Macaca mulatta: one gene and its partner. The protein of the gene in region 1 purifies or fractionates together with the protein of each later gene. This does not show direct contact. Links are inferred from orthologs where the notes say so. Each region holds a gene or a part of one and is shown on either strand. Other genes may lie near its edges.

Region 1 (4,836 bases):
AGTGATCGACCCACCTCAGCCTCCCAAGCCCAGCTAATTCTTAAATTTTTTGTAGAGGTGGGGTTTCACCATGTTGCCCAGGCTGATCTTGAACTTAGGCTCAAGCCATCCACCTGCCTCAGCCTTCCAAAGTGCTGGAATTAAGATGCGAGCCACCACTAGATTTTGGCCATCACTGGATTTTCTAATTATCACCCCCAATAGCTAGGCCTGGACCTCACCCTTCTCACTCATACCATCACGAGAAACATAGTTGACAGCAGCCACTGATGCTCCGGATACAGGAAAAGACCACAGTGAGAAGACAGACTGAAGAACAGGGACAGGGAGGCAGGTGTCAGGGCCAGCATGTCCAATAGGAAAGGAACCCCAGTGCTTTGGCTTCCTAGCTTCTGAGAGGAGACTCTGTGGCCTCTACTTCATGTTTCCTGTACTGAGAACAATTAATAGAACCATGGACTGGGCGAGGTGGCTCACACCTAGAATTCCAGTGCTTTGGGAAGCCATGGTGGGAGGATCGCTTGAAGCCAGGATTTCAGGACCAGTGTGGGCAACAAAGTGAGACCCTGTCTCTACAAAACAAAACAAAACAAAAAGCCATGCACCTGTAGTCCTAGTACTCAGGAGGCTGAGGTGGGAAGATGGCTTGAGCCCAGGAGTTCTAGACTACAGTGAGCTATGATGGCACCACTGCACTCTAACCTGGCCAAGAGTGTGAGACCCTCTCTCTAAAAAAAAAAAAAAAAAAAAGAACCATAAGCTGAAGTGCCCTTTGCTTTCATTTTGGAGCTCATACCTATTTCCCTGAGTCACAGGTTCTCAATGTAACCATCTATGGATTTGTATGCAAAAATATTCTTGTCTGTATTTTCCTGAGAATATTTACAGTTTTCAAAGATCCCCCCAAAGGGCCAATAGCCCCAACAAAGAAAAGGAAAAACTAAAAACCAGTGCTTTAAGAGAAAAAACGCATCCTATTGAAATGGCCAAAGCTCTGGCATATTTGTACCAACAGAGGGAGCTAATATTTAGCCCACTGAAACCATTCCTGTTCTGTCCTGTCCTGCCTTACACTCAGTTACACAAGGCACAGAGTTACCCTTCCTAAAAAGAAGATACTATTGGTCACAATCAGCCCGCTCTTCTACCCGTGGCTTGGTAGAAAGAGTAGGTGACAGCTTCTGGCCAGGGGTGTGTTACTGTGCTCAGTATTTCTCCTTTCCTGAGTCAGGATAAATAATTAGGAATGAACTTCAGAGCCAGTGACCCAATCTCCCAATGGCACTCTGTCTCTCCCTGACTGACAAGAGGCTCAGTCAGCCTCTTGTTCTGAGGGTTCCTCAGAACCCTCCCAAGACCAGCACCCAGTTGGGCCACTTACCTGACCCCCTTGCTCGAGGAGTGACAGGCCCTGTTGGATTTCTCTTCCAGGTCTTTCAGTTTGCAGTCAAAGAATCACTTATCCTGAAGCTGCCAACAGATGAGCTCATGAACCCCTCACAGAAGAAGAAAAGAAAGCACAGGCAAGGGTTGGACAAAGTGTTTTGTTTTACAGCCAGGCTGTTCCCTGTGCTCTGACCTCCCCTTGGAGTTCCCATCTGCCTCCCTCTTTAGCAACCACACAGGCTGTGTAAGCCCATCAGCTTGGCATCACATGACTGAGAGCCAGCCTCCTGAGTGCTCCCCAAGGGTCTGTGCCTTGGATCAGCCCTCTGCTTGTCCCCAGGTGCTGTGGACCATGACATAACTGGCTGTTTTTCTGTTTAAGCTCCTGGCCAATAGGACATGAGCTGGCTTCATGGCTCCACTCCGAAGCCATTTCTCCTTGTTGGTTTAGTTACCACCTTACCCATTTCTCAACTCTGACCAGAGTTTATTTATTTGTTTGGTTCGTGTTGTTTTTCTGAGTTACATAATAACACTGTCTTCTAGCTAGCCTTTACTTAGGTTAGAAGTTTTTTTTTAAAAATTGTGTACCCTGGCTCTGTTCCCTAATGACTATCACCTATCAGAGGAAGGAGCTGACACCACTTCTAGATACAGAAGGAAATCCCTGTGACTCCTCCCTTTCAGTTCTTTGGGAGAAGATTCCTGAAAGGCCTTCCCACCTCCCCATCTTGAAACTCCCCCATATCTCCACCTCCACAAAGACAAAGGGAGAGATGGGGAGACAAACAATAGCTTTATAATAGACCGATAGGCTTGGGCTTTCTTTTGTTTCTGTGTTGTGTTCTTTTATGTTATTTGGTCGTTTGGGAGGGGTGTGTTTAAGTTTAAATCTTGTAGCACAGGCCAGCTGGATTTAGGCTGGACTCTTGCTTCTGTGTACCAAAGTCGTCTTGTTGAGGGGTTTGGGAAGATACTCCCCAGTCATCAAACACAGTCCCTCAGAGCAAGTCACGTTGTCATTTACCTGCATTTACAGAGCTCCCTAGAGCCGTGACTGAGACTTATTCTTCCTGTCTTTTTCAGATTGTGGGCTGCACACTGCAGGAAGATTCAGCTGAAGAAAGGTAAGTTCTACCAGGGCATTCTTCAGCAGTTCAGTTGGAGGCTTCACCCTATGGTCATCACCCTACCCCACAGCTGCACTTGTTGACCCTGTGCCACTTCCGCAGATTGCAGAATTCTCTGCAGCAACTGAGAACAGCTCAGCCTCTCACTGCAACTGAGAAGACCTCTTAGGAGGTAGCATTAGGGGCCTTGTGATCGGTGATTTTTCTTTTTTTTTGAGATGGAGCCTTGCTGTGTCACCCAGGCTGGAGTGCAGTGGCACAATCTCGGCTCACTGCAACCTCCGCCTCCCAGGTTCAAGCAATTCTCCTGCCTCAGCTTCCCGAGTAGCTGGGATTACAGGCATGTACCACCACTCCCGGCTAATTTTTGTATTTTTAGTAGAGATGGGGTTTCACCATGTTGGCCCGGCTGGTCTCAAACTCCTGACCTCAAATGATCCACCTGCCTTGGCCTCGCAAAGTGCTGGGATTACAGGCATGAGCCACTGTGCCTGGCCAGTCTGTGACTTTTCTAGTGTGCCATTTGCTAGGTTCCAGACCTCATTTAATGTTTAGAATAGCTTCCCTATCACCTGTCAAAGGAAGAAGCTGACACCACTTCTAGATACTTCTCTGTAGCATCTCCACATCCTCCCCACAAAGCAGACCACCCCATTGCAGGTTATGAATAACAGTCATCCCTGTCTTCTCACTTCAGGTGCTAAATGTGTGTCCAAGAAGATTGTTAGGACCAGCCTCCTCTGAATCAGGGCAGCTGGACACTTGGGAGGGAAGATAGCTGGAGCGTACGGTCACAGCAGCGTCTTCCTCTGTTCTCTCTCCTAGATAACTCTTCCACACAAGTGTACAACTACCAACCCTGTGACCACCCAGACCGCCCCTGTGACAGCACCTGCCCCTGCATCATGACTCAGAATTTCTGTGAGAAGTTCTGCCAGTGCAACCCAGACTGTAAGTGTGCTGCGTCTTCCCTATAGTCTACCAAAACAGTCGGCACCAGTGTGCCCTAGGCTTGCCCCATTCCTGTGCCCTTTACTACTTATGAGCCTTCTGATAGTCTCTTTGCTGTGTTTTAGGGATTCTACAAATGAAATAAGTGCATGAGATCTGCAAGAGTCATTTCTGGAAAACGTTTAGGTTCATGATTGTAAAAGCAGAAATCAGATACCTTCCCAACTTTGTCTTCTAGGGGAGAATTAAGAAATGAGGGGGGCCAGCAGGCACAGCCACTCACGCCTGTAATCCCAGCATTTTGGGTGGGCAGATCACCTGAGGTCAGGAGTTCAACACTAGCCTGGCCAACATGGCAAAACCCCATCTCTACTAAAAATAAAAAAAATTAGGCCAGGCGTGGTGGCTCTTGCCTATAATCCCAGCACTTTGGGCGGGCAGATCACTTGAGGTCAGGAGTCAAGACCAGCCTGGCCAACATGGCAAAACCCCATCTCTACTAAAAATACAAAAATTAGCCAGACATGGTGGTGCATGCCTGTAGTCCCAGCTACTTGGGAGGCTGAGGCACAAGAATCGCTTGAACCCAGGGGGCAGAGGCTACAGTGAGCCAAGATTGTGCCACTGCACTCCAGCCTGGGCAACAGGACGAGACTCTGTCTCAAAAAGAAAAGAAATGTGAGATTCTTTTTTTTTTTAAGTTACAGCCCCAGTTTCCCTTTTCTGGATACTGTTTAAATTTTTTTTTAATTCAGATATTTTCTGTTTGTGATTCTGTGTATGTCTATTTTCATTTAATAGCTGGAGTTTTAATATCAGGTAGAAGACGGGGCCTGGATGTCAGCAGAGACATCCGGGTACTTATCTTTCACTTCTTATCCCACTATGCCCTTCCCAACTCAAAGCTGAGCAGTTTGATGGCAGTCCCCAGAGCTTGCAGAACTTGGTGCCCAGGCGGTTTTGCTGGAGGAAATACCTCCTAACCCATAGCAGATAGTGATCTTAGCCGCAGCAGAGAAGTGGTTGTGCTGGGTTGGGCAGTGGGTGGAGAAGGATGGCACAGAACGGATGCATTCTGTTCTCAAAATGATACTTGTTTTGATGGTGACATTTTACCAGTGAAAAGCACTGATTTCATTTTCTCTCTGGGGTACTCTCCACCTCAGCGGGAGGGAGAAGTTTGTTGGGGAAATCTCTAGGGGACACTTATTATTATACCTGCTTTTTTCTTATTATTATACCTGCTTTTTTCTTATTATTATACCTGCTTTTTTTTAAATTTTTTTTATTTTTTATTTTATTTATTTTTTTGTTGTTGTTGTTGAGACGGAGTCTCGCTCTGTCGCCCAGGCTGGAGTGCAGTGGCCGG
Region 2 (4,631 bases), on another chromosome or scaffold:
TCATCTTTATGGCCATGTATGCCAAAGATTTAGCTCTCACCTATAAATGAGAGAATGCGGTATTTGGTTTTCTGTTTCTGCGGGAATTGACTTAGGATGTGGCCTCCAGCTGCATCCATCTTGCTCTAAGGCAGTGAACTTAAACTCTCTTTTTAAATTTCATTGTTTTCATTTTGGTGTCCTCTTGTCAAATGCAATTTTACATAAACTCTAGTATGTAACAGATTAAAAACTATATTTTATTAGATAATTTATGAATTCAAAATTGTGTATTCAAAAGTTAGGCAGTGAGAACAGAGGCTGTTTTGATGTTCATAAACAGTTGAAATGGAAGTTGCATTCATTTCCCAGGACTGCCCTAACAAACTACCACAAACTGGTGGCTTTAAGCAACAGAAGTTTGTTCTTTACCCATTCTGGAGTCTAAAAGTCTAAAATCAAGGGTTGTCAGGCCATCTGCCATCTAGAGTCTTAGTGGGGAATCTTTCCTGGCCTCTTCCAGCATCTGGTAGTGCCAGACTTGGCATGTCATGTGGCAGCAAAACTCAGATCACTGCCTTTATATGGCTGCCCTCTCTGTGTGTCTGAGTTATCATAGCATTCTCTCTGTGTCTCTGTTTTCTCTTTTTTTTTTTTTTTTTTGAGGCAGAGTCTCACTCTGTTCCCCCGGCTAGAGTACAGTGGTATGATCTCTGCTCACTGCAATCTCCACCTTCTGGGTTCAAGCAATTCTCCTGCCTTGGCCTCCCAAGTAGCTGGGTTTACAGGTGTGCGTCACCATACCCAGCTAATTTTTGTATTTTTAGTAGAGATGGGGTTTCACCATGTTGGCCAGGCTGGTCTCCAACTCCTGACCTCAAGCGATCCACCCGCCTTGGCCTCCCACAGTGATGGGATTACAAACATGAGCCACCGCTCTCGGCCCTGTTTTCTTTTCTTATAAGGATACCACTCATATTGGGTTAAGGGCCTATCCTAATTGACTGTCACCTCATCTTAACTTGATTATATCTGATTCAAGTTAGGAATGCAACATATTGTTTTGGGGAACACAAATCAATATACAGTAAGAGTTATAGATAACAACTGCAGTGTTATGCTAACATTATTATCTGACTTATTTTGGTATTTTGTTTGGTGGTACCATATTGAGAAAAATTTTGGCCCACAGTGATAATTTAAAATGGTAGTTTTGTTTTTTTTTTTAAACATTTAACCATGTCACTTTGCAATCTCCATTTCAATTCCTTCAGTCAAATTGATCCAGAAGTCTGAAAGAACAACATTAGGGAATGTATATACCAGTGTTAAATTACTGACAATATCTTTAAAAACACTCACCTTCCTTACTGGGGAGTATTCACTTTTTAAAAGGAGTTGGTGAATGGATTCCCGGGGAAGCTTAAATCATCATCTATTTGGCCGACGCTGTGTGTTCAAATGTCATAATAGCCTGAGTTATTCAATGGTGACTTTTTTTTTGAGACAGGGTCTCACTCTGTTGCCCAGGCTGGAGTGCAGTGATGTCATCTTGGCTCACTGCAACCTCTGCCTCCCGGGTTCAAGCAATTCTCCTACCTCAGCCTCCCGAATAGCTGGGATTACAGACACACACCACCATGCCCTGCTAATTTTTGTATTTTTGGTAGAGATACGGTTTCACCATGTTGGCCAGGCTGGCCTCAAACTCTTGGCCTCAAGCGATTCACCTGCCTCGGCCTCCCAAAGCGTTGAGATTACAGGCGTGAGCCAGCGGGCCCAGTCTCAATGGTGACTTTTGAAAACATCTTGTTAGTGGCATGTTCTGTCAGACGTTCCCTTGAGATTTCAAAAGAGTAATCATAGTTTTGTATTTTGAGTGTAAACTTGGTTTCAGTTGTGTTGCCGACACATTCCTGCTGTTGTGAGCAGTGATGTGGAAACCATGTACTGCCAAATGAGCCCATCTGCTGAATTAAAAATAGCATCTAGGTACTTCACCTGGTACAGCTACGTTCCAGAGATGTTTACTTACTGGGTTTTTTTTAAAAAAACAAAAATGTTATTTATATTTTTATTTGAAATATCTGTACCAGAACCTTGTCTTGAAACTATTAAAAATTTCAATATTAAAACATACATTCTAGAACTGACCATCCTTATCAGTATAAATAACTCTGAAAGGTGCTCAGTTTATAGGCAATGCCTTAATAAATTTAACAATTATGAAGCTTTACCCAACATCTTTAAAAATGTTGCAGAGACAACTATTCAGCACAAATACAATGACCACGAGCGTATTTCAGCAACTGCTTTATCTGAGCAAGTCTTTTCACTCCACCAGAATAGACTTGGTTACATTTTCAACAAGTTACTCAATGGTATATTAAAACTGAATCTAAACACTTTTTACCCCTCCAGTTGTATTTTAAAAACTTATTTATGCTCATTTGTGTGGCTAAATATAAAAACAAGCAAAATACAGACATCAGCAAATCCACATTTTCATCCAGGTGAAGTGAAATTTAAATTTTATTTTTTGAAAAAATTTAAGTTTTAAAGGAATTCATTAGATACGTATTTTTGTTTTGTTTTGTTTTGTTTTCAGATGGAGTTTCACTCTCGTTGCCTACGCTGGAGTGCAATGGCACAATCTCAGCTCACTCCAACCTCTTCCTTCTGGGTTCAAGCGATTCTCCTGCCTCAGCCTCCCAAGTAGCTGGGATTACTGGTGTGTGCCACAATGCTCGGCTAATTTTGTTTTGTTTTGTTTTGTTTTTTTTGAGATGGAGTTTCGCTTTTGTTGCCCACACTGGAGTACAGTGGCACAATAGCTCACCGCAACCTCCGCCTCCTGGGTTCAAGTGATTCTCCTGCTTCAGTCTCCTGAGTAGCTGGGATAACAGGCATGCACCACCACATCTGGCTAATTTTGTATTTTTCATAGAGACAGGGTTTCTCCATATTGATCAGGCTGGTCTCGAACTCCTGAACTCAGGAGATCCGCCCGCCTCGGCCTCCCAAAGTGCAGGGATTACAGGCATGAGCCACCGCACCTGGCCTGTATTTTTAGTAGAGACGGTTTTTCACCATGTTGGTCAGGCTGGTCTTGAACTCCTGACCTCAAGTGATGCACCCACCTGAGCCTCCCAAAGTGCTGGGATTACAGATGTGAGCCACTGCACCCAGCAGATATTTATTTTGGATGTGTATTTTTGGATTAGATCAGTGATACCAGCCAGTATGATATGGTCTCTCAAGGATATTTGCAGATACATGGGGGCAATTTTGGTTGTCTTAATACCTAAAAGTACAACTGGGGCTTAGTTTTCTAGCACCAAGGATGCTGGGTGACTTGTACTTGTCCCACCTTAAATGCCAACAGAGCTTGGACTTTATCAGAAAATGAGAGTAATTATGTTTTTGTAAATGTCTGTTTATTTAACATAGCCCAGATTTTAATAAGCTTTTTTGATAGAATAAAGAGCTTTCATTTTCACATTTAAATTTTGTTCATATAAAATTTTTGTTGATAACACTGAGTAGTTCAATTAGGCAGGAACATCTGAGTTACTTACTTTTGAGCTTACTGTGTTTTGTTTGAAAATCATGTAATTTGGGGGGACTATGGAACTATTGTGTAAGATTTCACTGCATGAAATACAAGTTGAGCAGTTTTAGTCACACTAAAAATGAAACTGCGTGACAGATCATTCTCATTTACTTTCTTGCCTTCAAAAGATTTTCTGTGAAACTTACAGGCACTTGCTCTCATAGCATATGATTTGTTAGAGTGGTGTGGTTGGCCAGTAATTGAGTAACAATGCCGGATTGCATTTCTCATCAGGAGGTGCAGTCTTGTTTTATTTATCATCATATTTCTTCATTAAGTTTAATTTTCCTTTTCTTTTCTTTTGTTTTTTGAGACAGAGTGTCACTCTTGTTGCCCAGGCTGGAGTGCAATGGCACGATCTTGGCTCACTGAAACTTCTGCCTCCTGAGTTCAAGCGATTCTTCTGCCTCAGCCTCCTGAGTAGCTGGGATTACAGGCATGCGCCACCACGCCTGGCTAATTTTGTATTTTTAGTAGAGACTGGGTTTCTCCATGTTGGTCAGGCTGGTCTCAAACTCCTGACCTCAGGTGATCCACCCGCCTCAGCCTCCCAAAGTGCTGGGATTACAGGCCTGAGCCACCTCGCCCGGCCAAGTTTAATTTTTAAACCAATGATTCATTTCTGCTTTTACAGGTGATTACTTTATCTCACTAGAAAAAAAAATGTAAACATTCAAACAAAAAGTATCTAAAACTTATGATAAGCCTTAATCTTGAATAATTATCGTGACATGTGTTACTTGTGTGCTTATTGCTGTACAGCCTTCCTTGGCTTTCTGACAAGAGCAACTGCTAAGCAGAAGCACTTGAGCCTCATCTGGCATTTGATGAATTTGATTAATGTGTGCTATGGTGAGTCTACTCCCCTGTATAATTTTATGGGAGAGGCCATGTGCAAGTCTGAATTTAAAAAAAAGAAAAAATGGCTCGTGCAGAATTATTACCTACTCAATACATTATATATATGCCAGAGATGGCTAAAGCAGCTATATTTCAAGGTCTGCAAAAACATGAAGAAGCTGGCACGGAAATTAACACG

The links. The genes of interacting proteins can lie anywhere in the genome.
Region 2: the proteins of EZH1 (region 1) and AEBP2 purify together in Homo sapiens (affinity purification with mass spectrometry; 3 studies listed by BioGRID and IntAct, with this or other methods). This does not show direct contact. The link is inferred for Macaca mulatta from reciprocal best matches to the Homo sapiens genes EZH1 and AEBP2.

The regions. Positions count from the first base shown.
Region 1 is NC_133421.1:67,059,580-67,064,415, reverse strand, and holds part of EZH1 (histone-lysine N-methyltransferase EZH1), read left to right. Parts: intron 1-1,431; coding exon 1,432-1,523; coding exon of another isoform or gene 1,524-1,529; intron 1,530-2,472; coding exon 2,473-2,513; intron 2,514-3,341; coding exon 3,342-3,467; intron 3,468-4,836.
Region 2 is NC_133416.1:22,038,128-22,042,758, forward strand, and holds the end of AEBP2 (zinc finger protein AEBP2), read left to right. Parts: intron 1-2,587; coding exon 2,588-2,813; 3' UTR 2,814-3,672; downstream 3,673-4,631. UniProt on the Homo sapiens protein: Acts as an accessory subunit for the core Polycomb repressive complex 2 (PRC2), which mediates histone H3K27 (H3K27me3) trimethylation on chromatin leading to transcriptional repression of the affected target gene.